Schizosaccharomyces pombe: one gene and its partners. The gene in region 1 interacts genetically with each later gene. Each region holds a gene or a part of one and is shown in the gene's direction. Other genes may lie near its edges.

Region 1 (7,199 bases):
AAACAAAATGTTTTGTCAGTAGATGAAATCTTAGATCTCTGTAGATGTTTTTCTTAAATTAATAGTCCCTGTCAAAAAGTCGTTTTTTTTTTAACATACTGTTGTTTCCTAAAATTGGAATTATATATTTTTAAAATTAATAGATTTACTAACACTTTTTCTTGATAATAAGCGTGAATTTGGAATTATACATTCTAAACATCCACAAATGAATCACTTAATTGACTTTTATATTTAATGTTGTATTATTAATCGTAAAGAGTTAAATTTTTCTTACTTCAGAAACCTCGTAAAATTAATGTTTAACAATATATTTTTAATATTCTTCTTGGCCATAACGATAACTCCCAATTATTTAAAAACTCACACGCAGTGAATATTCCAATCTTCTCTTTACCTACACTCCCACTTCTTTTAATTCCCAATCGACGATATGTCTAGTAATCTTATCAAATCTTTTGGATTAATAGCAATTGGAGCGATCTCGGGTGTAACTTTCACGCATTTTTATTATAAAGGATATCAAGGATCCGATGTACCAGACTTGACACCCAGGTATACCAAATTTGACTCTGCTGGTCGAGCCTTAGAATCTATATATGATTTTAATGCCACCAAATTTTTTCAATACGGCATACCAGGACCAGTGGCAGACCAAAGGGTAAACCATGGCTATATGTCTGTGTTCGATCGGAGAACACGAAATCCATTCTATGTAAGCAAAAACACCGTTTCCTAAGCTTTCTTTACCTAGGAATTATAGATCACGGCAATAGATTAAATGTTTAAATTTCTGGTCTCTCGGAGTGCATTATATTAATAATAAACTAGACAGCGGAAACCATTACACAAGAATCGTTGAACCAACGCAAAGGCAATCGCAGGTACTCTGAGTTCGTTCCAGATGATAATATTCCTGAAATGTTTCAAGCAAAGTTAGGAGATTACAGAGGAAGCGGTTATGATCGTGGTCATCAAGTACCTGCAGCAGATTGTAAATTTAGTCAGGAAGCAATGAACGAAACTTTCTATCTTTCTAATATGTGTCCACAAGTGGGAGATGGTTTCAATAGAAACTGTAAGCAAAAACTTAACGAGACTTTTTCTTTTAATACATTAATAAATTTGACTAGTTACTAACTATAACAATTAGATTGGGCATACTTTGAAGATTGGTGTCGACGCCTTACAAGTAAATACGGCTCAGTTACCATAATGACGGGACCGCTGTATTTACCTAAAAAAAATGAACGTGGACAATGGGAAGTTCAGTATCGAGTAATTGGCAATCCTCCCAACGTCGCAGTTCCTACTCATTTTTTTAAAGTAATCATTGCAGAAAAATCAGGAGAGCCTACCTCAAGTCCATCAGTAGCTGCATTCGTTCTTCCCAACAAACCTATTGCTGACAACTTTCCGTTAAAGAACTTTGCAGTTCCCGTTGAGGTTGTGGAACGAGCAAGCGGATTAGAGATCTTATCAAACGTACCCAAGGGTAACCGAAAACAACTTTGCAGTGAAGTGGTGTGTCAGTTAAATGTTAAGGAGTTTGTTGAATCAGTTAAACAAAAACAAAAGAATCAAGGTAAATGATAAGAATAAGGAAATTTAATGAATCTCTAGTTTTTCTAGTTTTTCCGGTGATCGTTCTTTATTATGAAAATATTTAAACTGTTATTTACACAATAATACTTAAATGCTACATGTCAAAGAAACAATTATAAGTATTTTACCCAGTAGTATAACAACACTTGTAAGTGTTTAGCATGATTAGGAAAAGAACATGAAACGAATTTTAATTGCTGAAAGTTTATAATTATTAGAGAGAAAGCGCGTGAGCTACGTTGAAAAGAAAAATTTCTACGTTGCATATTAAGCTTTGCCGTCACTTCACAACTATACAACAAGACACATATCATAGGAGAGTAAAACAAAATGATAGAAAAAAAAATCATTATTATTCAGTTGAGATTTTTCTGCTCTCGTTGCATACGAGAGATATAGGTTCGAGAAACAATGTTCCAAGCATCCATATAGCGTTCCATACATTTGGAAACGCAAGACTTTTGTCTAGTTAGAATAAAAGTATTTTAATAGTTCTCATACCTTTTCATTGGGATCGAATGTGGAACCAGGCTCCGGGATACATTTATCAAAACAGTTCTCATTGATTTTCTAGATAAACCGATTAGTTAAAACATTCAATAAAACATAAAAAATGAATGGAGCATACACTTATCAATTCGCCAGCTTGAGCAACAGCAAGTTCCTGACGAATTTGTTTCATGAAAATGGATTTTTTGTCTTCAGAAGAAGGTGCATTTCCACTATTTCCACCGAAAATGCCCATTTTGTTTAAGTATAACGTTAAAACTTATGAATGTGGATAATTTTTACTCCTTTACAAGGAAAATTAATGAGGAAATGGTACGTTCGTGGAAAGTACCAAACGGTGTACTTAGGGAGACTAATTCAGAAACCGGCCATCATCACCAATTAGACTTCGTTAATAGAAAATGGATTTTCTAATATGCTGACATATGCGATACAACCAGACAGCAATCTTTGTTTTGTTTTCTACTTGGTATAAAAAAAAAAGATTTAATAAAATATTTCTAAACTAATGGATAGATATACTATTCGGGTCCTTTTGGTGAGTTTAGAAATAAAAGTTTTTTCAGCGTTTTTTTATTATTATTATTTTTAATATTTTAATATACGAAATGAATCGTTCATGACTTTTCATTACCCTTGTTTAGAAAAAAAAATAAAAATCCCAATTTGTAAGAAATTTTTATAGAGTTTTATAGTCTCGAAATTAAATCATGGAATTAGCACATCTTTTACTGCAAATAATCTGAGAATCAAACAAGTCACGTAAACATTTCAATGTTTAATACTGCTAGCGATATTATGGTGTATTAAATTTTATAACAAAAACGAGTTAGCTTGACATTGATAAAATTAATGCGACTGTTATTTACATTGAGAATTATATTGTTAAGTGAAATAGGATTATTCGAAGGAAAATCTATTTCGCTTACTATTCCTTTATATTTCTTTAGAATGATACCTTTGGATTGACTATCAATTGTATCTGTAAATCCACGGACACTTTCTTAATTCTGCGAAACTGCATGGGCGGCAAATTTTTCTTATCTTGAAATCTCTATATAGCCTTGCCCGAGGTAAATAAATAACAGGACGGCTGGGAGGTTGATCTTATCCAGAGCCAAACTCACCACCAAATCTCTTCTGTTTCTTTACAGTGGGAGAAATATTGTTTACCATTGTTATTATTATTATTATAGATATTCCTTTTAGTGTTTATTTTTTAAAACAAAAAAAAATACTTGTAACGAATTTTCATTAAGTATCATCTCTTGGATCGCTAAAATAAATCAGCGAATATTATAGTGCTGAAGCATTACACGTTCGAGGAAGTTGACAAATTTTAATAATTGCTTATCATTCCTATTAAATTAATAGTTTGATTTCCCTTTCAGGTTGCTTCGCTTTTGTAGCCCTTTGTTTCCCGTTCTTTTTATTTATTGTCCTCCACACTCATATAAAAAACTTTGACCATAAAAAGCTTAGACAAGCTCTTCTCAAATTCATTTTAAAATTATCTGTTCGCAAGCATTTTTGTCCCATGTCTGTGATAGCTCCTTCTTTTGATATGGCTAACATACTCACGGAGTTGTCTTCATTTTTAGGAGCATTATCCCTGGGATGTTGGGTCGTTTTACTGATCCCTCAATTACTTGAAAATTATAAAAACCAGTCTGGTGAAAGTATCTCTGATTTATTTTTAATCATCTGGCTTATTGGCGATTTCTTCAATGTACTTGGTTCCATTTACGGAAATGTCTCTTCTACTGTATTGGTTCTCTCATTTTATTACATTGTCTCTGACAGTACCCTACTTATGCAAATTTACTACTATCGTTGGAAAGCTGCCCGTCGTATTGCCAGTCGTGAACACGAACCCTTACTCCAAAGTCGTTCATTAGAAGAAGGTCTTCATGCACCCATTGGTAAACAACAAATTTGGTGGGATCGCCTTTCTACCCGTCAACAATTTGGTGTAATGGGATGTGTGGTTATTGTCTCGACAATCGTTGGAAACTTAATTATTTCTAGTGCCTCTTCTGACAAGAGTGATGATGACTTGAATGCATGGCCGTTTACTGCCGGTTGTATCAGTTCTGTGTTATACTTCTGTGCTCGTATTCCTCAAATCATCAAGAATCACAAAGCAAAGTCTACCGAAGGATTATCCATTATCTTTTTTGTGTTGGCCTCTGTAGGAAACACTTCATACGCTTTCAGCATTCTCGTATTTCCCGCCTCCGATTACTTAAACTACACATATGCTAACCTGCCTTGGATACTTGGCGCGTTCAGCACCATCTTCCTTGATATATATATCTTCTACCAGTTTATCAAGTATCGTAATCATTATTAACACAGCATAATTATCAAAAGGTCATAACTTTACCATTGCGGAATAAGAACGGCTGAGGGAAACAAATCTATGCAAGCGTTAATAATATATTCCATGTCTATAGTTCAAAGTTTTCAGAGGAAACAAAGATATGTCGTTTAGATGCTAGTAGCAACACAATATTCTTTCAAAAACATGTATTCTAATGTCACACATGATGACAGTAAACACTAGTTTGATACTTACCAAGTTGGTTAACCGGTTTATCAAATACATCAGTGCCGTATGAGGCACGGGGAAAGGTAGTGGTAAACTTAGTTGGCGGTGACACGTTCATTTTCTCAGCGACCTGTTGTGCCAATTGGCGTAGCGTCTCCTCAGCTGCAATAGTTATATTACAAACTTGACCATCGTGTCGGATAGAAAATCTGCCTGATGTAGGAGGGGTGCGAGTACAAGTAGAAGACGAATTGGCATTTTTAGGCTGCTTGATGGGAGCAGCCGTTTCTTTTACAGAAGAATTCTTATTTTCCCGTTCTGCAGCTCGTCGTTTTTTATCGCGTTCAATTTCTGCGAGGATTTTCTTACGCTGCTCAGCATCTTCAGCCTTTTGTTGACGGATCTTTTGCAAGTCACGTAAGCGGGCTTGATCCTGCATCTTTCTCATAGCCTGTGCAGTTTCATCATTGGATTTTTGAAGGATTTTATAATTTGTCTTCTTCTCTTCCAGAGCCAAAATCCTTTCTTTTTCCTTTTTCTCCTTTGCTTTCTCTCTTAAAGCTTCAATAGCTTGTTTTAACTCTTCGGGAGAACGCTTCTTAATCTATGTTTTATAATCGTTGTTAATAAAAAGAAAGGATCGAGTGAAACAAATTATTGTTTTCGTGAATTATAATAATAAGGATGGTTAACAATTCGAACGCTTCAACCATTCAGCAAAAAGTAAAAGGAGTAAAATCTATACATACCTCTTCTTCAGTTTCCTCAAATTGATCATGACTGGTTTTGGTACTATGAAATTCAGCCATTTCGATGGAGGAAAGCAATTTATCGCATTCCAAACATTTCAAAACCATTTTTGTGTAGAGTTTGTAGTTGCAAAAGGCAAATTACAATGACGCTCAAAAATAGCCCTACGTTCCATCGACTCAACATCTAACGTGCTAATATCTACAATATCGTATTACCAAACATCGCAGTTGAGAGCATTATAAATTTGTTGGTCATTGAAATAGAAATGACAGGTCAAATGAAACAAAATAATTGTAGTTACCACCGATTACGCTATGAATTAGAAGAATAAATGATTGTATATATTGCACGACATCCGCAGACCGATGATTGAAAATGATTACTGACTTTCGTGATCCTGTAGTTGGCATCCACTCGAGTAATTCGTTTCCTTTATACATGGTATGCTTTCTAAAGCATCGCTGATATTCCTTGAAATAAAAATGTTGATTTTTCCCTAGCATAATGACCATTAACGAAAGTATACAATATCTATTTAATGATTGTCTAAACCAAAAAACGTATTTCCTTTGAATAGAAAGTGTAAACGAATGCGCAATTTTTTTTTGAAATCATAATGTTTACTTCATCCTTGCATTCTTAAGTTGTAATTAAGACAATTCAAACGCATTAACATGACATTTAGAAATTAAAAAGGATAACTTGAATCATCCTTTTTGGGTATTTATATCATTTATTAATTTCACAAACAATAAATCCATATACTTATTGGGATTTTATAACCATACTGCATTCGTACATTATTCACCTACTGCAAAATATTTTTTAGCATATATTACTTTTTACTTTCAAAATATCACATTTATTTTAATAATATCGTTATAAGGCTTTGTATAATATCGATGAAAACAGTTACTTGAATAATTATCTCCTTTTATTTCAGTATCCATATATTACCATAATCTTTGCTCAGCCTCGGAAAATCACACACAAGTATGTGTGACGTAAAGCCACGATTTTTGGCTACACTGCGAAATGGTACTTCGCAGAGTAAAGTAGTACCACCTCTCGCAACAAACTCGCCTTTCCCGTAAATCATGGCTCTTGAATGTGATAGTACAATTGTGTTTCCTCGACCACTTACACGACTAGTAAAATGTGATTTAGAACTTCGCAATACTGCACCTTATCCGATCGGATTCAAAGTGAAAACTACTGCTCCTAAACAGTACTGTGTGAGACCCAACGGTGGTCGAATTGAAGCCAATTCGGCTGTAAGTGTTGAAGGTAAGATAATTTATATTTAATTTTGAACCTCATTTGCATTTTTTGATTTTATTCGTTTAAGCGGTTCCCATCATTGATGTTGTCGGGTGGAACAAAAACGTTGTCATCAACGTGATTTTCTTTTGCAAACTAACAGTTTTTATTGTTTTTGTGCGTGCACTGGAAGATAATTTGTGCTCATTAGTTATTGCTGTAAATTTTCATTTACTAACTTCTTTTTTTTTAATAGTTATCCTACAGCCTCTAGATCACGAACCGGCTCCTGGCACAAAATGCCGCGATAAATTTTTGGTCCAGAGCACTGAATTGAAGCCAGAATTACAGGGAATGGATATAGCAGATATTGTATGTGATAAAAGATATACTTACATTTACTTTTTTAATACATGCCATACATAATTGATGTTCTAACCAATACTTTAATAGTGGACTCAAGTCAGCAAGGCTAATATATCGGAACGAAAAATTCGATGTGTTTATAGTGAAGGCCCCA
Region 2 (7,962 bases), on another chromosome or scaffold:
ATCCTTGAGCATTCGCAAAAACCATATTAGTGCAATATTTGAGATACTTGCATCTACGTTAGATTTAAATATTGTATCTCGTGCTTAATAAACTGCATATCTGAGAGAAAAATCCTTTTTCTCTTAACCCTATACTATATCCTCTTATAGCTAGGATTTTACTCTCAGTTATTTATTTCTCTATTAAATATACACTCGCAGATTTTCCTTTTTCAAATCTTATATAAAAAATTATTTTTTGCGTCTTTGAGTCATGCATCCCGATCAGATTCGCCAGTTGAGATTACAGGAATCTTCAAACACCCATCCTAATTTAGCAATCCTTTTCATATTTATTGCATTAGCCGCTGTCATTGTTCTTTTAATCTGTCTTTTGTCAGTCATCTTATTACTGCGATACACACGACATGGACGGATCTTGCTGAAAAACACCAATCCTGGTGAGTTGGACGACGAAGCGTTAGAGAATGAACATATTGATGAAGAAGGATTTAGTTTATTGGATGATATGGGGAAAGAACGGTATTTACAAGCTCGTGAGTTTGAGTTGAATTCCATGAAATCTAACGTCAACACGGATGCAAAGCTGCTTGACTTCCTACAAGTTCAAGAGAAGGGCGTATTAGCATGGCACTTTATCCCAAATCAGGAATATAATTGCTATGTTAAAAATAAAACTGAATTGTCTTTTTTGGGCAACGAAGAATGTTGCATGCAAACCAATTTGCCTTTGCAGAGGATCAATGAAGTATACTATTTTGAAGTAAAACTTTTAGACGTACCTATTGATACCTTGGTTTCCATCGGTCTGGCTACCAAGCCATATCCGCCGTTTCGATTGCCTGGTTGGAATTTTTGGTCTACTGCTTATGTGTCGGATGGAACACGCCGCAGTAATTCACCATTTACGGGAAAACCGTACTCCTCTTTCTACCAGCAGGGAGATGTAATTGGTGTTGGTTACAAACCGAAGTGCAATCGGATCTTCTTTACACGTAACGGTCGTCGGTGTGCAGAACTGCCGTGTACATATCGAAATTTGTATCCTACGGTTGGTGCAATTGGACCTTGTACCTTACATGTCAATCTTGGACAAGCAGGATATGTATTTATTGAAGCAAACATCAAGAAATGGAGACTCGCTCCTGCGGTTGGAAGCTTGGCTCCTCCTCCGTCGTATTCTACATCGCAGCCAACTATTAGTTGGGATGCAGCTAGTGAGTCTTCAGCGGGTACAACAACGCAGGGCGATACAAATAGACCCGACAAATCGAAAAATAGGTCACCTCCAATAAATTTTGATGGTACCTCGTATGATGCGGCTGGTAATGTTTTCAGTCCATCATCATCCAACAATCAAGCTTATCAAATGCACTCCATGCCTGCTACCGATGAAGTATAAGGAGTAATGTATAGCTTAGCACTAACAACCTTCACGCCAAAACCAAAGATCAAGTTGTGGAAATGTTTGTGCGTTGTGTTTCAAGTTAGTCCTAAAATCGAGAAATGCACTTTGTATATGAATTGAAGGGGATGTGTTGATGTTCAATGTATTTATTTTCTTTATAATAATTTCTTCAAAATTAGTTATAATTATTAATCTTAATTAAATTTACTCTATGTTTATTCGCTCAATTAATAAAAGGTTATTCACAATTTATTATGATTTTTCGTATAATGTTGCTATTGAGTCTATACTGTTAACATCAACCTTCATCGAATTCCGCTGGTGAGAAGTTTTAACGGAGGAATTCATAGGGTTGTCAATCCTGATAATGAAAGTGTAAAAGGAAATTTTCGAAAGCGCTTTTTTACATTTCTAATTTTGCGTAGTGTCATAAAATGCAATTCCTGGTAAAAACAAAGCCGCTTAATTATTAGTCTTGTTATCTTTTGCTGTAATAAAAGGAAATCTACCTTTTTATTCCAAAGGAACAAATAAAGCAATTCGATACTGCAGTGTGACATTCTTTGTGAGTAAAAAAAAAAGGGAGTAAAACAGAGAACGTATTCAAGTAATATTCTGAGAATTGTTTCTATTTCAAACTTTTATAGCAAGTTTCCAATATGCCTTTAGGTATAGACTTAATTGAAAAAAGACCGATCATTATCAAAGGGAAAATTGGGATATATTGCTAATTAAAATATCTACCTAAAGGCTGCTATGCACCTATGATGATTTCTCTCCATAGACCAACAAAAAGTTCAATGGAAAGCAATTTCAGCGGCACATACAAAAGATTCTTCAAATAGGTAATTTAGGAATGTTTCTTTTGATTATCTTGCATAAAGGAAAAGGAGATCATATTTTGAAAGCTCTTACAACGATTACCACCCTCCCTAACTGATGCAAACTGGTTCTCAGCAGCACTGACTGGAACTATCTAAGTACTCTATGAAAAAGTAAGAGTTAGTTTAGCATAATCAGATAAAATGACTGGGACTTACGAATCCTCAAAGTCCGATAAAGAACCAAGTTCATACGGAAATCTATATTACACGAGGTTCAGTTTTTTGTATGTATAATGAATTATTATTTTAAAAAACATATTAGTGTCCGATAGTTTACAATTGTTTGCTAGTCGGTCTCTTAAAGAGAAGGGCATAAACTTCTGCCGACATTGTTAAACAAGCAACAAAACTTCCCCTCAGAAATGTTAAACGATAAAAAAAGGAAACCTCTGGAATTATATAAAAAATAGCTCTCTCTCTTCTCGTTACGTGACATTCTTTAAGGGTGTATATTGAACCTTCGGAAAAATTGCTCTCATAAGGAAGTGATACATGTCAAACGTGTTTCATCAAAGTCGCATTTTTTTTCTTAATATCTTACTTAAAGCAGCAAAGCATAACTTCGTTCCTCTCCACTTAACGACTTCCATCCTTTTATTTATTCATAGCATACTTCTTCACCAAGCGGGCACATGAATAAGGATAATTAACACACTACACTATACCCCGAGTTTCTCCACATTTCGAGCATCGTTTATCGTACCCTAAATCTACGGTAGTAAATGTATGCTTGTAATAAATATGACGTCAACCGACATGTTTTTGTAGACTAGTGCATGCACCGGAGATCTGTAACTCTCCATAAGCCTAGCCATGCATGCAGCACTCGAAATCAAAGAAGCTGAATTTCAAACCGATCAAGTAGTAGGACTCGTAGAAAATTCTTTTACATTATATTCATTGGTATGAAAAACGAAAAATATTTTTTTTTTTGAAGAATTTCGACTAACGTTAACGAAAACAGGGACAAAATGTAAGAATTCAAACATTATGCATTGAGAGCCATGCTGACTTATTAGGGGGGTCCATTGGAGTCTTGCTGTAGCAGTCATTTGATTTCTGATGGCGCATTTCAAGAAATTATATCGCTGGATGGTGGAAGCCACCTATCGGCGTTGGTTGAGTTGATCCAGTCAAAACACCTGTCCGTCGATTCTTGGTCTTCCATCACCAAGTATGACAATTATACGGTGGAAAATGAATCATACGCAAAAGCCTGGCACCTTTCAGAGCAAAGGATTAAAACGTTTCTCATCACACACTGTCATTTAGACCACATCTATGGAGCCGTCATCAATAGCGCCATGTTTGGTCCTCAAAATCCTAGAACCATAGTTGGGTTAAACTATGTGATCGATACCCTAAAAAAGCACGTGTTTAATAACTTATTATGGCCTTCCCTCGACAAAGCCGGATTTATTAATTTTCAGGTGTAAGTAAATTCTTTCTCAATAGCTTCTGTCAAATGAAAATTTTTTCATTGTTTTAGTGAATAGGTTGAGGGTTGGGAAGGCAATGTTGAGTTTTGAAAATTTTTTATTTTCTTCATCTTAGTTGAAGAGATGTATGCTCGTCTTTTTTTCCTTCAAATCTATTTGCTGAACACACATTTATATATTTTGCATATATGTAAACTATCTGCTGACGCTTTGGTTGATTTGCATGGTTTCATGGTACTTGTGCAATTTTTTTTGTGAGACAGTGATATTATTTGAAAGATTGCAAAGATTGCAATAATAATTATATCTCTTTTTCTTTCACTGTTCTAATATCTTTTGTTCTTGTTCAAACAAGTTAATGAATTTAACTCTTATGCGAATTTGCTAAATCAACCCCATCGGCATTTCTCTTTCTCATTTGACAATGAGACTAACCTCTTTTTAGGGTTGAGCCTTCCATGTATACTAGTTTAACGACTACTTTGTCTATATTGCCCTTTCCCGTTAATCATGGCTCCTCTTTCGGTCAAGAGCTAAAGTCGTCTGCATTTTTATTTAGGAATAACCTATCCGACAGATACTTTTTGGCTTTCGGGGACGTCGAACCCGATATGGTAGCCTCAGAACCGCTTAACATTCATATTTGGAGAGCTTGCTCTAGTTTAATTGCTCAAAGAAAGCTTTCTCATATTCTTATCGAATGCTCCACTCCTGACATCCCTGATACTCTTTTGTTTGGTCATTTTTGCCCTAGACATCTAGTGAACGAGCTTTGTATACTCCAATCTCTGGTCCAGAGTTATGGCGTTATCATGCCTACCCTTACGTGTTTGCTCACTCATTTGAAATCACATCCTCTTCAGTCGGCGAATCCTGCCGATGTTATATTGGAGCAGTTAGAGTCGTTGTCTTCCAAAAGTTCTCTTTCAGTCACATTTAAAATCCTTCAGCGTGGTCAATTTTATAAATTTTAATAGCATCCCAGGGTCATGGTCATATATTCATTATATTTTTATTTTTTTTTTTTAATTTCTTTTAGGTTTCTCCATTTATTCGTTACGCCCTTTTATCCTTCCGCCGTTGCCGCATGTCTTTCTATTATTGAGAATTCTGTTGGAGGAATTTTGACTTTGTTGTTAATTATTGAATGCTAAAGCAATTAATTATTACCTTTTTTTATTTTTCATTACCAGTTCATCGTACCTCGCTTTGCTGGTTTACTCTCATTAGAATTTCACGCTTTTCTCATCGGACACTTTATTTTCAAAAATAGAATGCTTTTTCTTTGTTTGCCAATCTGCTTTACTTTTTAAATAGATTTCTAATTTGGTTTTTTGTTGTTGTTGACGAGGTTTATAGAACGATGGGTTAAAAGTCTTAACCAGATTATATACTTGAATAAATGGGTTATATTATATGACGATTTCTCTGTTCTAATATTGTTTACCTAGAAACAAGAGGAAGCATTCCTAAAGGGTAGCGGGTATATTAGTTGAGTGATGAATCAATATAGGTTTGCTCTGCTTTTTTCGATTGGATAGACTAGGAAGTATTCTGGAGGGTATGAAAGGAACAAAGTGTTCTATTACAGTTGGTAATGGTCGACTCTTGATTACGATGTTTAATTTGGGATAGAAAAATGATTATTATTTCTAGTTATCGCATATGATCGTAGGAAAAGCACATTACAAAGGGGAAACGAACCAAAACGGATGCAATGATCATAAAGGGCGCTGGAATAGTAAATTAATATAACAAGCTAGTATTCTTCTTCTTTCCAAGTTGCATTCCTTTCGCTTTGGGAGCAGAAGAAGCCTTTGCTGCAGCGTGATAAGACTCCATGGCAGATTCGTCTTCAACATTAGACGTAGCAAAGGTTGTATTAACTGTTTGATACCCAATGGATTCATACGCATCTGCACTGGGAAGATTCTGAGCCGCCCGTCTTGCAGCTTCTTTCTTTTGTAATTCAAGTTGTTTGATGCGGCGCTTCCTTTCTTCAGTTGCTTCAATTTCTTTGTTCTAGAAAGTGCATTAGTAAAACCATACAAAAAAAATTTCGATGACTCCACCCCTATGCTTCAACACGTACTCTTGATACAATTTCTTGAATTTTCTCTTCGTGACTCTCCATTTCCAAATAAGTTTTGATCTGTGTCAAAGATACATTGTCTCTGTAGCCAAGGCTGGTAGCTTCGTCAAACGCAGTAAAGATTTCAAATGCATATTCCAGAATCTCTCGTTCTTCAAGCGACGAACAAATCGATGTTACCACTTGAGAGAGGAGATGTAATGTATCAATGTCTTGCAAAATATTAGATTGTAAATTGGTGATCAACACGATATACAGTTCGTCCAACGGTTGGTATACGAACCTGACGTTGTCAGACTCCACCGTGGTATTTTGAGACTTTTCCGAAACGAGAGCGGGGAAGGAAGACAAAAGGCTTTCTACTCTTACACGAGACATCTCACGAAATTGTCTCGAGATGATGGCTAAACAAATTTACTGTAAGCCTCAAGTCCTTGTTAATAGCTAAACTACTTTTCATACCTTTTCCCCCACGATTCACAATACTTACTGCCAGGACGACCTACCCTTTGTTAAAATCAACACGATAGCATGAGACCTTCTTACCATTTTTTGAGACTCCTAGTAATAAACCACACACAATGATATGGTGCTAAGTAAAGGGTAAACGCTGCGTTATGCGTGTAAGCACGACCAACACAAATACCGCAAAATACTGTGATACATTTAGCAAAACCAATAATGCTTTACACGTTACTTACAATACTGCAACATGTTACGCTTCCCTAAAGTTTGACGCTATTCTACGTTATAATAGGATTCGTTACGTATCACTATATGTCACATGTTCTTTTGGTATATTGTATTACCGATGATACGATATTGAGATAAATTTTGATGGAAATAGCATTAAGATCTATATTATTTGAACAATATAATTAGAATCCCAACTGAACCTCACTCCTCACACAATTGTAAGCTGTATTTGTGATAGGTAACAATACAACTTAATAGTACAATACCTACTACCTGTGTATCGTAATATCATAGGTCACAAGGAAATTTCACCGCAGTGCTATGTTTCGTTAAACCAGATACCAAACTGCGTAGCTGACATTATATTATACTACAACGTTTGCTTCTCAAAAACGTTTAAGGAAAGCTAAGTTGGGGTGAATAAAAAGGGCAGTGACAAAATAAATGTGTCAGAAGCAATTCACTGCCTCGTTCAGTTTTTTCGTTCTTCTTTTTTTATGCCATTGTTTGAAGGAATTAGTTGGAAATTTGTTTGAACAATTTTATTATTTTGTTAAAAAGTCTTTAAAGCGATTGGAATTGGACTACAGAGCGAATATTCTTGATTTCGCTGTTTCGTTTGTCGCAATCACAGCAATTAATTCGCGCATGTGTTTTATTAAATAAAGAATGATCTTGATGAAATGAAGAATAATTACACTTCCTTGAAAAGTCCTCTAGATGAAGAAGATGAACTGAAGACAGATCATGAAATCGATTTGGAAAAAGGGCTACTTCCAGAATATAATTCAGAGGAAGAGGGCACACTGCCTCTATATTCAGGTAAGAATTGTAAATAATAAGAAAGGAATTATTCAATTGAAAGTTGTAACTTTCTATTGCTGTAAAATAATTTGGATGTGATCATTGTTTACAGTTGGCATATCCAACACTTGATCATTTTCAAACATGCGCACATTGTATTTACTCATGTTATCAACTCAAGATAAATCATTCATAATTGAGATATACATTTTACTCATTCTTTAAATATTACGCTTTAGGCTAACTATAAATGCAGACATTTCGAAACTTGCTAATCCTGTACCTGAGGATTCAAGTACAGGACCTACAGAAATTGCGAATCCCAATGTCGAAAGAAGACAAGAATTCAAAGATTCACATCCAAATATATATTTCCTTCTGAGACTACTAATATCAGTTCTTGCAGTTAGTGTTGTCTTTTTTACTGCATGGGTTTGTGTAAACCCGTTGGAGAAGTCGATATTCGGCAAGGTAGCTTTCTCCGTCACAATTGGTATAACATGTCCAATATTGTTTATTGCTACTTTCTGTAAGCTATGCATGAAGTTGTTAATACGTCCATTCACTAACTCATTAGGCTTCTTTGAAACTTGGACCCAGGCAGTGGCACAATGTATAAAGGTGACTGTAATTTTCTTG
Region 3 (8,990 bases), 2.0 Mb from region 1:
GTGATTTTTCTAACGAATGAGCGCTTGGACTTGAGACATCTTGTAGGTGAGACATCATACAGGGAATGAGAGAAAGGAGGGAATATTGAAAATTGCCAAGACGCTCAGCGCTTTTATCGTACACTAAAATCCTTTTTCCCAGTAAGAGAACTTTTAGTAGAACAAGAGCATTCTGTCTCCATTCGCACAAAAAACTTTTCAAGTTGATGTTAAGAGCAATGTGGACATCTTGCTCCTTCCTAGTGAGTACATGAAAAAAATCTCGTAGTACATCTAAGTTCGAAAAATCGCCTTGAGAAAAATAAGCATTTGTTACGATATCTAGATTATCTTTGATGTGTCCAAATGGTGGAGAAGTTGTGATAACTACAACTGCCTTTTGAACACTAGAACGTGTGACATCGGATGGTATGTTTTTTAAACTGCTAGCGTTAAGTTGTCTGGTGCATGATAAACCAAACACGGTTCCTTCGTCATTGGGAAAGGGAAGTGTAAAATAGACGAAATCCTTTTCACTCTGGAATTGCATTAGCCAATTATTTATCAATTTTTCGAGAAAAAAATGGAGAGAACGGGTTGTAAACTGATCCATCCATTTTCACTGTACGTTTTAAATTAATGAGATATACATACCGAGTGTGCACCATCTGGAAGAGAAAGGAAAGGTAAGATAGACCATTCTTTGGGAAAATCCATAGATTCTGGAAATAGGTGTTCTATTTCAGGACCTCGTAAATGATGACTGCAACTACGTTAGCCAAGATTACTAAATTGTGTAGACGAGGACGTTAGATACTTACAACCCAATAGTTGCCAAGCAAAGGACTTGGAAGCTTGCACCATTTTCATCCATATCGCATTGAACGAAATCCAAAAGATTGTATCTGAGTACCAAAATTCAATTTCACTAAAGATCCTCCTAAGTAAATGTTCCAAAACGATACCAAACAGTTATTTTCAATACTAAAAGATACAATTGCTGTTTAAATAAATAAAACTAAAAAGCTAGTTGTGCATTCAACGGCCATTTACATTGTTTTGGCAGAGCATCAACGGGCGTCTCTAACATGGGTGGTATAGTGTAAACGCGTATGACTAGGTATCAACGTTTGTTACCTAACTTTGCCTTAACATTACTTTTGCATGCATTTTCATTGTTGAAATGAGTATTAGAAGACTATTGGGAAGAGCATATGAGGTAAAAGCATAAATTTTTGAAGATTTTCTAATTTTTGGAATTATAAGATGATTTTTTATTTATTTTCGTACGGCCTTTGGATAAGCCAACAGCTTCGTTATAAGAAGTAGTAGTCATCAAGTCGAAGGTTATACGGTTACGCGGTTATGGACGAGAGTAAGCATTGGGTTATACGCTTACAACAAAAAATAAGAAAGCTAAAACTCTTGAAAAGAAATAAAAGCCACAGCGAAAGAACAGTAGCTGGAAAAACAGTTTCTTTCATCGTTTTCACAATAGATTAGAAAATCAGAAAGTCGGTTGTTCATGATCCACTTTTTTGCACACTGTAAATATAGATATTGGACATATTCTCAACCAACTGGCAAAAGAAAAAAATTAGGAAAAAACAAGATTACTCTATATTTTTTCCGTTGTCTTCTAATATTGACTTAGCTAATGATTGATTTATTCAATTATTTTCTTATAATAATTTTTTGAATTAAATTAACATAGTTTTATTTTAAACTGGGAAGCGCATCTTGCTCATAATTCAAATTATTGCCCTAAAACCAACATGAAACAGATCCGGCAAACTAGTTTCCACAATATATCGGGATATATCAAGATATGCAAGATATATAAGATACACATATATAAGAGATATAAGATACATATTCAATAATTGTCAAGGATACCTATAATCAAGCAAAAATTAAACTTACGCAAATAAGAATTTCATCTTTATAAAAAAAAAAAAACCATCAAAAAACAAAACAATATAAAAACCCTCCCACTACATGTGAATATCTTGGAAGACTTTTTTTTATAACTAGTACATGCTTTTATTAGTATGTAATGAATAAATGAACGAACAACAACGGATTGACTTCAGTACCACATAAACATTACGAAACCTAGCTAATTCTATCTCACCTGAAGATTATTTTATTTTAGCGGGGCAAATGCAGTCCTTCCCGAACCTCCAAGACTAAGTAACCAGCAAGTAACGGCATCAGGATATCTTACCATTCTTACCCATTAAATTTAAGGAACCGAATGAAATTAGGAACGATGAGCAGTTTAACAAAGTCCTCCTTATTTTTTTTGCGTTGAAATGTAGTTTGTAGTGTCAAGCTGCTTTGTGCTATTTATCGAGCAATGAGAAATAGGAGAGGAGTTATGGTAGCAGGGTATACTTAGTAATGTTTTCATGGACCAAGCGGGGGAGGGGCGAAAAGCATGTCTAGTTCGCTGTATTCAGTTTCAAGACCCCATTTCATGTTTAACATTTGTTCTAGATACGCAAAAATCCCTTTTTTCTAGATTGTTTGCAAGTCCCCATGTCTTCTTTTTTTTATACAGCTGAAAAATTTTCCGACTGTCAGGTAAAACTGGTCAGTTGCGAAAACATGCTTTGCTTCATCTTGGTACCCAATCGTCTATGGATTTTTTATATGTTTCTTTCTAGCTTTGTGATAGCTGCCCACGCTTTGCGATCAAGTTAGTTGCCTTATCCCTTGTGCACTTTACTTTCATATCTGAGTAAATAAGTCTCCGTAACTGGAATTGAACTTGGTAAAATTGGGGCTTGAAAATTTAAAATATTATGAAAGTGAACAAACTCAGATTGGGAAAACACTCATTAAACATTGCTTGGAAAGATTGCGCGTTTTTTGGAACACTTCCTTTGGTCATCTTTGCTATCCCGATTGCTTGCATCTTCAGCCATAAACAAGGGACGACTCATTGAGTTACTAGAGTAGTAATAGAGCAGTATAGTTTAGTAGTATAGAAATGCTGGACCAACCAGTTAATGACATATAAACATAAAACATAAAAAACTATTTTGATGAGCGGCGCTTCTCTATGCGATACTTACATAGAATGCAAAGCTCACACAGGTCTCAGCTTACTGCCTGCTCCCCTCGCCCAAGGTCATAATCGAAGAGTAAGACTTACACTCCAATCTTCTTTACTTGAATGATGCTTGTTTGGTGGTATGTGTTGGATCCTTTTCCAATGTTACATTTTCCGAACTGTCCTCTCTACCCCACTCGAAAAATTAAAATCGTAAATGGATGATGCATGACGTAGTGCCTCATAAATACAAATTATACCAGAGTTGCCGTCTGTCTTTTTCGAAATAGTATAGACGAAATCACCGCTCAGGTACCAATCTAACCATAGTTGTTAGCTACTTAAGCTGTTTGAAGCATCAAAACGCTTGCCCTTTTGCTGCTGCTTGTTGGATTTAGGGTAGTGTGAATTGAAAGTAAGGATTTAATTGTACACTCGGTTAGTTGGACAGTAGTAAGAATTGAGATATTTTGCCTCTAATTCTTCTTTCTTCCTTGTACAATTCTTAATTTTTTTCTCGTTCATCGAAAGACGACGAGAAATCAATTTTCACGAGTTTCTCATTTGTCGCTGCATCTCTTCAACTGATTTCAGCCTTTTCTTCTTGCCTTAATCAACCTTGGTATTCACTCGTACTCACTGTGTCAATTAGCTAGCCGGCTAGCTTCCGACCTGCGATCCTTCCTCATTCTCCTCCACCCCCTGCTTTTCGAGGCATCTGGTGAAACTCAAAAAAAAGTTGAAATTGCGATTTAAAGGTCGCCCATAAAGGGGGTTAATCAAACTTTGCGCGTATAGTTTAGTGACTGACTAATCAATATTTTGATTATTGATTCCTATTCTGTAATATCCCCTTTTGACACCCGCACCCTTGTTCCTACTTAATCATACTTGCTACCTCAACTTTTTTTTTAATACTTTTATTTATTTGCGTTTCACTTTTCTTTCTAACTTGCTCTCTTTCCATTTTATTATTTAATCTTTGCTTTAATTGGGAAAAGAACTGGATTGAAGGCTTTTCTTGGAAAGTCCTCGCCTCTCTGCTGCTACACCTTACCTACCTGCGTTTAACCTTCTTACTTTGTTTCATATTTATTTCTCCCATCTTATCCCAAAAACCCGCTAGCTGTCGGATTGAGAAGTTTGGTGTCCTACTACATCCCCGTATTTATATTCTGCAGTAGTGGATTAAAAAAAAATGACGATTTTTAATGGATTATCTGAAAGCGGTGAATCAAAAAAATTGAACAGCAAAATCGAAAAGCAGATTGAAAATGCCTCGAAGAAGGATAAAAAGATTTACAAAGTGTTGCTTTTAGGTACGTAAACTACTCAATGTTGTTGTTGTTGTTCAATAGTTATATATGCTTGGGCAGTCGAGCAAAAAAGCAGAAAAGATTGAGAAAAAAAATAAAGAAACGAAATGAGTGAAACTATTTACGAAACAGAGAAACTGTTTAAGAAATGACAGAAAATGGTTTGTCTAATTGCGTCTACGTTCTCTACTCTTGGTTACCCTTTCCCTTCAATACTCAGTCAGTGAAGGTGACTTTGATAACGTTCTTCTAGTTAACCACTTTTCGTCGTCGTTGCATGTTGTAATCAGTTGCTCTACACTCTTACCGTTTCTCTCCATTGCATAGCACAGATTTTTTGTTTGATTCCTATAGCAAATTTTCCTTCCTTTGTTTCTTACAATCGTCAGTCTAACCATTGTTTTCTAGGTGCCTCCGATAGTGGAAAAAGTACCATCAGTAAGCAAATCAAAATTCTCAACAAAAATGGGTTTAGTCAAGAAGAGATTATGACATTTATTCCGGTGATCCGACGAAACCTGTTGGAATCTGCTAAAACCCTTGTTAAAATTATCGTTCAAAAAGGTATCAACTTGGACCCTTTAGGAACCCACAATTGCGAGATAATCGAAAAATTTAATCCAACTCCTGGTGAGCTTATTAATGCTAATATTGGCCAAGCTATTACTAGTCTTTGGTCAGCCAATAGTGTTAGATCCTGTACATATGGAAATGATTCCGTACTCATTGACTCTGCCCCTTACTTTTTTTCGCGAGCCGATGAAATTTGCAGTCGGCATTATGTCCCTACAATAGATGACATTCTCCGGTCTAGAAATAGTACTCTGGGTATTTCGGAAATATCGTTCACATTGGATCATTTGCAAATTCGAATGTTCGACGTTGGTGGTCAAAGAACCGAACGAAGGAAATGGATTTATTGTTTTGAAAATGTGAATTCAATCATATTTTGTGTTTCCTTAAATGATTATGATAAAAAGCTTTATGAAAGAGCCGCCCCAGAACGCAATCGTTTGGTTGAAAGTATTTCTTTATTCGACTCTATTATAAACAGTCAGTGGTTTATGCATTCTTCTATCATTCTGTTTTTGAACAAATTTGATTTGTTTCGGAAGAAACTGGAACATGTTCCGTTCCAGGATTACTTCCCCCAATATGAAGGTAAAAATTCTGTTAAAAGTATTACCCGGTATATTCTTTGGTTATTTGTGAACCCTTCTATAAATCGGGCTAAGCATAATATATATCCTCACATTACCACCGCTGTAGACACATCTAACATAAAGGTTGTCTTTTCTGCCGTTAAGGAAACAATTCTACAACACAGTCTGAAAGAAGCGGGAATGTTTTAATTTTAATTTGAAGATAAAATTTACCCTACCATTATTCATATGTTAACAGAAGACCTCTTACTGTCTGCATATGTCTAGAGAGTTCTGAAGCCTCCTTGTAAGAATCGCTTCTTTTACATTCGTTTATTTTTTTTTTTTAATATTGTCCGGAGTTTATTACACATGTTCTTTAAAAATATTTTTCCAATATATACATTGGCTGCTGGAATCTGAAATCACCGATTTGTCTGTAAGGAAAAGGATCGATCTCCTTTTCAGTTGTCTCAGAACGTTCACAGATTGCTATTAAATAATCTCTTTAAGATGACCAAGTTATACAGTTCTAGTTGATATAAATATTTTGTCATTTTTGCGAATATCAATTTGCATTTAATTTTTTACTTTAAACGATGCTGCTGGCGAATGCTTTTAAAGTTATTGAATACTTTCTGTTGAACATAGTCTTAAGATTGAGAAAGTAGATCTCCAGTTTTGATTCGAACATCTATCTCTGCTTTCAGAACTATTGCTATCACTTAATGCTGCTATTTATGAGGGTCGTAGAAAATCCGTTTGAGTACTAAGAGACTTTGAGTGGATACATGATTTAATCGCTTTTGTTTTAGTATTTAGTTTTTAATTGTTAGACTACTTGTATAGACTATTTCACTGAATCATCAAAATTGTTGTCTCTCTTTGTTGGCACCAGAGACTGATACTTTTTACCGACTTTCAGTATCTTTTCTTTAATATATTAATTTACTAATCAAAAAAGCTATTGAACACGTGTATTTCTGCCATGTATAATAAAAAGCCGCACTGTTCTGTATACGTATCAATTTGATTAAATTAGATAGTAATACTACTACATAGATATTCGTTACCCACTTTTAGCTTCTACTTTAGTATATCCACCCATCTTTGTGTTACTGCAGGTTTATTTATTTCAATATTTATTTTGTAAAAACAATTAAGTACATTCGTTAACTAATTATGAGAATTATTGCACTTCCTTTGCCAAATCAAAGGGTATTCTTACATTGTTATCCTTCTGAATACCTTGCCAAAAAAGTTACTATTCACGACAAAATTATAAACAGAATTTACAAGTATTGGGACTCCTGGAGTGCTTCAAAAAGCTATACCAAACAAAAGGTTGTGTCTTTGGGAAACCGAATTTTGCATGCAACTCCTTATGAAGAAAATTTTTTAAGGGCGATTGCTCCTGTTAAGAAGCTAAATGATACAGAATTACACCAAACTTTGTATATTGAACATCCTCCAAATTTGGAATCAAGTACTATTTTAGCTGAGTTGAATCGGTCCAAACAATTACAAAAGACCCATACAAATTACCTTATTGGTAATATTATTGGATTACCATTGACTATACCTTTCATTCTCATACCTCTAATACCAAATATTCCGGGTTTTTATCTTTGTTATAGAGCATACTGCAATTTTCGTGCTATTCAAGGGTCTATTCAATTAGCTCGGGTAATGAGCATAGAAAACATTCAAATGCAGGAAAGTGAAAAACTAGAAAAAGCATTGAAGTTGTTTACAAATGGAGATGCTACACCATTAAACGCTCTCATAGGCCACCCGGATTTCGTGGACCGCTACAAACGTGCCGTTGCTCAGGAGCAACGGAAATCAAAAATAATCAAATAAGAATATTTTTTTCCTTCTATTTTATGAAGTCCTTTGCATATAAAATCAATGACCTAAGTAGTGTGCAATCGTCGTTCCGGTCATAGTTATGCCATAACATTATTGCGCAGCTATGAGTAAAAAGAAAGTCCCAAACTGATATGAGGAGTGGAATTTTATATCAAGAAAACATCTTCCTTTTTTATTTTAAATATTAAAACTCCCATTCTTTTGTTCTTTCTCTTATTAGTGGTTGGCAATCGTTCATTCTTTTCTGGGGTTCTTTCTTTCTTTTAATCTTCTTTCCATCTTTCCTTTAAAAAATAATCTTCTCATATTTATATCTTGATTAATATATATTCTCATGGAAAAAGGTCATAGCGACTTACCTAGGCAGCCAGAGAGAGTTGCTCAAAACCCATTTTTGACATTTGATCAAGATAGCTTTCCTTCTAGCTATGGATCTTCTTTAAATGTTTCAGAGCAAACTTCTGGATCTTCAAGCACTTCTCCATTGCCTCAGATTAGTTGTTTACTTCGTAAGGACGATGTACCTTTAGCAAACAAAGAACTTTCTCGATCTCTCATTCATGTTCAAGAACTGAGTCGCTATCCTCCTTTTTATAACCAAGATCATCAACATTTAGGAGTACCGAGAAGCAGAGTGGGTTCTGATGTTTGGAAAATGAGGGAGAAATCTTTTTTAAGCCCATCTCAATTTAGTAGTATTGATTTAAGTTGGGTTTATCGATCTAAGGAAGAGGATGATGACTTTCATGATCCAAAATCATCAGTTGTTAGTTTAATGGGGGAAGAAGATTATTTGGGTTGGTCACGTTTTTGCGATCTTTTCTTTCTGTTCGTCCTTTCCCTTGGGATAGGATTATTATTCATAGTTTTTCCTGCTTTGACATTCACTGGAAATATTACTCCGAGTAAAGAAAAGTTTGATGCGATAATGGCTAATCAAATAACTGACCATTTGTTTGCGCACATGCGTGTTCCGCGCACGAACCTGATTGACAAGGATACGCCCTCTACAGCGTATCACAGAACCGGGTACAACGGTCGTAAATACAATTTGGTTTTTTCTGACGAATTTAACAAAGAAGGAAGATCTTTTTATTCCGGAAATGATCAATTTTGGGAAGCGGTTAATATTCACTATGCTGCGACGAATGATTTAGACTGGTATGATCCTGATGCAATTACTACCGTTAATGGAACATTAGCCATTCAACTCGATGCATTCTGGAACCGAGATTTGAATTTTCGTTCTGGAATGTTGCAATCTTGGAACAAGCTCTGCCTAAAAGGTGGTATAATTGAAGTATCGGCCTCTTTGGCAGGTTCAGGTGAACACGCAGGATTATGGCCAGGTATCTGGACACTTGGAAACCTTGCCCGCCCTGGCTATATGGCTACAACTGATGGAGTATGGCCATATGCATACTCTCAGTGTGATGTAGGAATTACGCCCAACCAGTCTTCTTACGATGGCATTTCTTATTTACCAGGACAAAAATTGCCAAACTGTGTATGTCTAAATGAGGATCATCCTAGTCCAGGTGTTGGACGTGGCGCTCCTGAAATTGACATTCTTGAAGGTTCAACAGAGAAGCTACATCCCGACGATGAACTAGACATTGGTGT
Region 4 (6,587 bases), 2.5 Mb from region 1:
AGAGTTTACGAAAAAAACACTTTAAGTGAGATTGCTCATCATAAGTTTAATGAATATGAAATGGTTGAAAGTATCATTTTAATGAATGATGATAAACGTGTGGTTGTGGGCACAGGTTTCAACTTTCCAGATCAAGATGCCCCAGATTCAGGCCGTTTAATGGTCTTTGAGATGACTTCCGATAATAATATCGAAATGCAAGCTGAACATAAGGTCCAGGGATCTGTGAACACTTTAGTTCTGTATAAACATTTGATAGTCGCCGGCATTAATGCCAGTGTCTGTATTTTCGAATATGAACACGGTACTATGCACGTAAGGAATTCTATTAGGACACCTACTTATACGATCGACATTTCCGTTAATCAGGACGAAATCATCGCAGCAGATTTAATGAAGTCTATTACCGTTCTACAATTTATTGATGATCAACTAATAGAAGTTGCCAGAGACTATCATCCATTGTGGGCAACATCCGTTGAAATTTTGTCAGAAAGAAAGTACTTTGTAACTGAAGCAGATGGCAACGCAGTGATTCTTTTGAGAGACAATGTCTCTCCTCAATTGTCCGATAGAAAAAAGTTACGTTGGTACAAAAAGTTCTATCTTGGTGAATTGATAAATAAAACTAGGCACTGCACATTTATAGAACCACAGGATAAATCCCTTGTCACACCACAGTTGTTATGCGCAACAGTTGACGGCAGCCTCATGATTGTGGGTGATGCCGGAATGTCTAATACTCCTTTGTTACTACAGCTGCAGGATAACATTAGAAAAGTTATACCTTCGTTTGGAGGCTTGAGTCATAAGGAATGGAAAGAGTATCGAGGTGAAAATGAGACCAGTCCATCTGATTTAATTGATGGCTCTTTGATTGAGAGCATCCTTGGTTTACGTGAACCTATATTGAATGAAATTGTAAATGGTGGTCATGAGGGTACAAAGCTTGATATTTCTGTTCAAGATCTAAAAAGTATTATTGAAAATCTTGAGAAACTACATCCTTAACGTTTTCTATCAATTCTGTTTTTGCCGCTAGAATGTAATTTTAAGACTATATGCAATTATCAATGTCTCATTGTATATTTATAGCAAACGAAAATGTTTTTGAATGAAAATCTCCACTATCGTATCTCTTTCCACGGTCGATAAAACGCATGAAAGGAGTTTAACATATACAAAATAATATATGGTGCCGACCTCTTCATGCATGTATTGCGAACACTTGAGCAAAATTTTTAGAAGCTTTTTAATTTTAATAAAGAAATATTTAATGTTCAGTATAGAAAGTTCAAAAGCAATACTTAAATTTGCTGCTAATTTGGTTAAGTTGGGCTGAATAGGGAATTCTTCAAACAATACTTCGTATGCTTTTAAAGGTAGACAAAGCACTAATGCAATATATCTGTCAAATACAAATGGCAGAATTTTTGGTATTTTAATAGAAGATCAAATGTTTATTGATGGATTTAACATAATTAGCTGTTAACATTAATATTTCGTTTTTATTGCACCAGATACCTTTAAAAAATTATAACTTCTGAATTTCTTTATTACTAGCTTGTCGGTTTGCCATCAGTAATTGTTGACTGCATTACTTGAAAACTGCCAAACACATTTTAACGAGCTTAAGACCAACCAATATTTTTTAATTACCAAGCCTACACACTTTTTGTATTTTGTTTTAAAAGCAACCTAAAGAAATATACGATTAAACTTAGTGTGCTTTATAAAATAGTGAATATGAGGGTAAGTCTAAGCAATGACTTGGGGTTATCTTTTATTGATTACAACAAACTAATCAACGATAATATTTATAGTCTACCTACTTAAGAGAGTACAAATTGGTAGTTGTAGGAGATGGTGGTGTTGGTAAAAGTGCTTTGACAATTCAATTAATTCAATCGCATTTTGTTGACGAATACGATCCTACAATCGAAGATTCATATCGGAAAAAGTGTGAAATTGATGGTGAAGGTGCGCTTTTAGATGTATTGGACACGGCCGGTCAAGAGGAATATTCCGCTATGCGTGAACAATATATGAGAACCGGAGAGGGTTTTTTATTAGTTTATAATATTACCTCTCGGTCCTCTTTTGACGAAATTTCTACATTTTATCAACAAATCCTTAGAGTTAAGGATAAGGATACATTTCCAGTCGTTTTAGTGGCTAATAAATGCGACCTTGAAGCTGAACGTGTAGTTTCAAGAGCTGAAGGCGAACAACTTGCAAAAAGCATGCATTGTTTATATGTTGAAACTTCGGCGAAGCTAAGGTTAAATGTAGAAGAAGCTTTTTATAGTTTGGTTCGCACGATCCGTCGCTATAACAAATCAGAAGAAAAAGGTTTTCAGAATAAGCAGGCCGTCCAGACTGCCCAAGTTCCAGCTTCAACTGCTAAAAGAGCTAGCGCTGTAAATAACAGTAAAACCGAAGATGAGGTTTCAACTAAATGTTGTGTTATATGTTAGCAAGTATTATTGCAGAATATTTGAGCTGTTTGGTGAATGCACCGTTCCTGTCTTTTGTTTCATCTCTTTCTTTTCATTTCAATAATTGTTTTTTCATTTAACACAATTATTAGCAGCTATCTTTAAGTACTTCATTTTCCCTTTGAACCATTTGCACATCTAGTTTTGGCTGCTAGTATGATAGCAAATTATTCAATTCAGAGTTGTGGACTTAGAAAAAACGTGTTATTTGACTTTGGGTTGCTATTTCTTGTTCCGTTTTAATAAAATACATCTCTTTCATTGCATGGTCACGATGTAACAATCTGCAACTAATGAATATATCATACACCTATAATCCCGTAGATCTTTTTTTATAAATTTTTAAAAAAGGGATAATTTTTTTCATAGAAAACTATGTCTGCAGTCTCAATCTATCCCTAAAAGCGCTTTGCTGTGATTGTAAACAAAAAAGCTAGTGCTTACCATTGGGATAACCTTAATGTAACCTATGGTAAGTCCAACGAAAAAACCTCTCATACCGGCTTCTTTGTAAGTAGTTTGTACTACCTGCTTAAGTCTAAGAAATGATTTATTTTTTCTGATACCACCAATTTGCATTTTTCGTCGACAAACTTCGAATGGGTAAGAAACCGTTTGACCACAAACTCCTGCAAATGCTCCACAAAGTAGTTCGGGCCAAGTTTTAAGTTTTTTATCTGACTTTTTTGTAGAAACCCATTCGTCAATTTTTTGTTTATGAAAAAAATCAGTTGCAAGATCGTAGGCAAGAAACGACATACCAGCATATGGAAAGATTCCAGTTAACGTAACAGAAAATCCACGATAAAAATTACAGATTTTTGACAAACGGGATAACCCAGGATACTTCTTATTGCACAAAAAATCACGTTCGTGAAATATATCTTTTGTAACTTGAGTTAGGGTAGGATTCTTCCCTGTATTGGTTATGTAGGCTAAACGAACACGAATCAGCTCTAACGGGTATGTAAAAAAAACAGAGCAAGTTCCGGCAAGTGATCCTGATAAAAATCGCCGAGCATGTGTTTCATGTTCAGGGTCACGAATTAAAACACGCCGTACTTGTTCGTATGCAACAAATTTAATGCCCGCATAAGGGAAGACTCTGTATAAAGTAGCAGTGTGGCCTTGATAAAGACCGTGTAAGCCATAGACGTGGTAAATGTGTTTGATAGCCTTATAAAGCCCATGCCGTGAATAAGCATACCCTCGATAAGAAGCGTGATTGGTTTGGTAAAGGATTTTCACTCTATCTAATGGGGCAACTACTGATTTTGCAACGCATCCAGCTGTACCACCAGCAATTCCAGATTTGACTAAGAATTCCCATGAATCCTTTTCCGGATATTGGGCAGTTGAGTTAGGCATGTAGAATCCCTGAAAGTGTTTAAGTTAAATAAAGAGGGGATTAAAAAGATAAATGGAAGGACAAAACTTTTCGTACCAAATGCCTAAACATAAAAAAATTGTTAAAACTGAACGTTTTCAACTTCTTACTACAAACAAAATTACATGTAAATAAGATTTAGCATCAAATGTCCAAATATCTTGGATCAATAACAGTGATTGAAGGAACACGAGAACACTTATAGTAGTAGCAAACAGTAATCTGAATAGAAAACACTTCAGATTGTCCAACAAGATTACCTATAAAGCAATCAATTATGCTTTTGAAAGAAAATGAAAGTATCTTTTAGCTTCTGTTAGAATTCCAGTAAGCCCATAGGTAAGGTAAAAAAAAGGCTGTAATTTAACAAATATATTTGTAGGCTAATAATAAAGGATCAAAAGAAAACCAATCCGTTGCTAAAAAATAAAAAATTAAGCCCCTGAGTATCCCAATAATAAATAAAGAAAGGCACTCCTAATGCTCAAATAATTGTTGAGTTGCCGATTTTTTGGTGTTAATGCCCACAGCACTGGAAGGTGGAAATTAAGCAGGCAGTAATATATTTCTCATAATTAAACAAAAACGTTTACTCAATAGCTTTGGAGATAATTGATGATAATAATTTTGTTTAGATCAATCATAGATTAACATAATAAGAATTTTTGAACTATGATGCTAATTCTCTCAACCTACATAAATTGGTTTATGAACAAAATGGTAAACAAAATGTGATAAACTTAAATAAAGATACTATTAAGGTGAAAATGAAGTTGTGTCTATACATATCCATATTAAAAAAGTTGCTCTAGCAAACTTTAAAAGGAAAATTGCTTGTATATTGAATATGAAGTTCACACTGTAGTAAACTAGTTTTTGTGCAATCGGTAACTGTAAACAAACGATATTTTAAAAGCAGAAACATCAACTTTTTTTACTTATTTGCTAATGCAGTAAAACTTTTCATCCTTGTCTAAACGATCTGTCCTAGCGAATGAATAATGAAATTCACCGAATAAAGATTTTTGTACTAAATAATATGTTACCAACTGTGCATAAAGGAAATATTATATTTTAGCACTTGAAATACCTGTAAATGAATACACATGCTTGTTATACTTTTATAACCAATCACATCGGTAATACCAATGCGAATGCATCCTTTTGATTATGTATAGCATTTGCAAATAAAAAATGATATTAAGAAAGAAGGGGCCATTATTCATGTTGGTCGAATAAGAAAGTACAGAACGACTGACTTACACTGCAAATTATCCTTTTTACCTTTATTGATAAACCGAGAGAATTGCTATTGTAAGATAAAAGTAAAGAATTAATCCGATCCTAAGATATCTAACGTGACACTAAATGAACAAAATGAAAAAAAAAAACACGCCAAGTGCTACACTCATTTCTTCTTCCCCCTTTTTTTTTTCTTTGAACCCTTAGGAGGAGCGGAAGGCTCCGCTTTCTTTTGCTCTGTAACCGGAGAAGCCACTACCTCTTGTTCTATATAACATGACTGTTAGCGAAACGTAAAAATTAGAAGAGCATAGTTACATTAATAACTACTTTTAAAGGAAAACATCTTCCTTCCAAGCGCTTCTTTTTATAACAATGCAAAAACAATTGATATACTAATAATACATACCTGGTTCAGGAGGAATTTCGTTACCTGTGGAGACATAACTAAGTTTGTTTGCAATTAGAAGTAATCTGCCAAGTTCAGCCGCCTTGTCAGTCCTATATTTTAGACATATTCCAGAAGCACTTTCAAAGGCTTTCGCGATTAAATAATTTTGACTCTGCTCATTCGTGCGATATTTGATACTAAGTTTGGTCTAAATGAAAAAAGTCAGAGTTTGATTATCAAAGATATCATCAACACCATACCGTTTTTGGATAAGCCTCCGTTAATGATTTTGACTGTGTGAAGAACTCATTCACAGTTTGCAGGTAAACCATGGTATAGTGGCTGATGGTAGGATCAACACATCAGGCATGCACCTCGTAGTGTTGTCTGAAACACAACTAAGTTATATTTGAGTCAATCGAAGGTTACTAAAATTGAATATAATTCATCCAAAAAACGTAAAAGCTTTTTTTACTATTTTTTCTACTTTTTGGTATACTATATTGGTTTTTCACGTATAACAAACTACTGAAACTATTAGTCGACAAATCTGTCAACTTAAAACATTCCCCTAATTTATGGTATCAAATCAAGACAATGTACAGAGAAATGATGTTCAAAAGTATCCGATAACTAGGTTTGTAAAGCGAAAGAGCAATGTTGTGCTTAAAAAGAACAAAGGAGCTATGAAATCGAATTCAAATTCACGCAGTAGAGGGAACAAAAAATTAAAAGAATCCCAATTTTCTTCTCGAGATAATTTTAGAACCACTCAAACTCAAGCATCTTCGTCAAGTGAGCCTAGTGATAACACGAACAGACTAGTTCCGGTGGTAATTATTGATAATAATACTCCAAAGAAAGAAGAAAGCAATGCCGAAAAGTTAAAGTTAGATAAAGATTCTTCAAGCGTTAATTATGAGAACCAAATCAGCAAACCGCTTATTACTTTCTCCGATATTCACGAAACCGTCAACGTTCCGTTTCTTTGTTTAGACAAGCACGACTCAAAAAATGAGGTTGCGATTAATTCACATGAAGATTCGCCTGTATGTCTTGAAGATATCAC

The links.
Region 2: of stm1 (region 1) and cgs2, changing one suppresses a phenotype caused by changing the other (phenotypic suppression), as found in Schizosaccharomyces pombe (one study listed by BioGRID).
Region 3: of stm1 (region 1) and gpa2, a mutation in one rescues a mutant of the other (synthetic rescue), as found in Schizosaccharomyces pombe (2 studies listed by BioGRID, with this or other methods).
Region 4: of stm1 (region 1) and ras1, extra expression of one rescues a mutant of the other (dosage rescue), as found in Schizosaccharomyces pombe (one study listed by BioGRID).

The regions. Positions count from the first base shown.
Region 1 is NC_003424.3:4,479,229-4,486,427, reverse strand, and holds stm1 (G-protein-coupled receptor Stm1), read left to right. Parts: upstream 1-3,228; 5' UTR 3,229-3,652; coding exon 3,653-4,468; 3' UTR 4,469-4,497; coding exon of another isoform or gene 4,498-4,535; 3' UTR 4,536-4,636; downstream 4,637-7,199. Other genes in the region: endodeoxyribonuclease Pnu1, read left to right, coding at 434-715, 832-1,078, 1,154-1,593; TIM22 inner membrane protein import complex subunit Tim13, read right to left, coding at 1,962-2,063, 2,107-2,175, 2,234-2,350; SPOM_SPAC17C9.11C (zf-C2H2 type zinc finger protein/UBA domain protein), read right to left, coding at 4,498-4,535, 4,694-5,270, 5,416-5,523; scs22 (VAMP/synaptobrevin-associated protein family protein), read left to right, coding at 6,517-6,706, 6,936-7,051, 7,133-7,199. UniProt on the Schizosaccharomyces pombe protein: Amino acid transporter that moves basic amino acids across the vacuolar membrane. Appears to function as an arginine/histidine antiporter.
Region 2 is NC_003421.2:1,807,775-1,815,736, reverse strand, and holds cgs2 (dual-specifity cAMP/cGMP phosphodiesterase Cgs2), read left to right. Parts: upstream 1-3,093; 5' UTR 3,094-3,105; coding exon 3,106-3,195; exon of another isoform or gene 3,196-3,256; coding exon 3,257-3,265; exon of another isoform or gene 3,266-3,311; coding exon 3,312-3,724; exon of another isoform or gene 3,725-4,176; coding exon 4,177-4,705; 3' UTR 4,706-5,400; downstream 5,401-7,962. Other genes in the region: SPRY domain membrane protein, specificity factor required for ubiquitination Ear1, read left to right, coding at 254-1,402; coatomer delta subunit Ret2, read right to left, coding at 5,478-5,753, 5,824-6,227, 6,286-6,325, 6,370-6,372; wtf antidote-like meiotic drive suppressor Wtf18, read left to right, coding at 7,203-7,341, 7,580-7,852, 7,901-7,962.
Region 3 is NC_003424.3:2,513,561-2,522,550, reverse strand, and holds gpa2 (heterotrimeric G protein alpha-2 subunit Gpa2), read left to right. Parts: upstream 1-3,311; 5' UTR 3,312-4,235; coding exon 4,236-4,356; intron 4,357-4,519; exon of another isoform or gene 4,520-4,761; coding exon 4,762-5,705; 3' UTR 5,706-6,498; downstream 6,499-8,990. Other genes in the region: avl9 (LAlv9 family protein), read right to left, coding at 1-517, 634-742, 801-853; SPOM_SPAC23H3.12C (hydrogen/potassium transport protein), read left to right, coding at 6,678-7,358; SPOM_SPAC23H3.11C (glucosidase), read left to right, coding at 7,702-8,990. UniProt on the Schizosaccharomyces pombe protein: Alpha subunit of the heterotrimeric guanine nucleotide-binding protein (G protein) involved in glucose-induced cAMP signaling.
Region 4 is NC_003424.3:2,015,648-2,022,234, reverse strand, and holds ras1 (GTPase Ras1), read left to right. Parts: upstream 1-1,603; 5' UTR 1,604-1,746; coding exon 1,747-1,752; exon of another isoform or gene 1,753-1,823; coding exon 1,824-2,477; 3' UTR 2,478-2,773; downstream 2,774-6,587. Other genes in the region: protein Ddb1, read left to right, coding at 1-1,011; leu5 (coenzyme A transporter), read right to left, coding at 2,886-3,866; signal recognition particle subunit Srp21, read right to left, coding at 5,294-5,394, 5,537-5,726, 5,779-5,850; SPOM_SPAC17H9.06C (uncharacterized protein), read left to right, coding at 6,097-6,587. UniProt on the Schizosaccharomyces pombe protein: Participates in the process of sexual differentiation and the determination of cell shape. Essential for mating and for recognition of the mating pheromone, but not for vegetative growth. Does not regulate the intracellular cAMP level.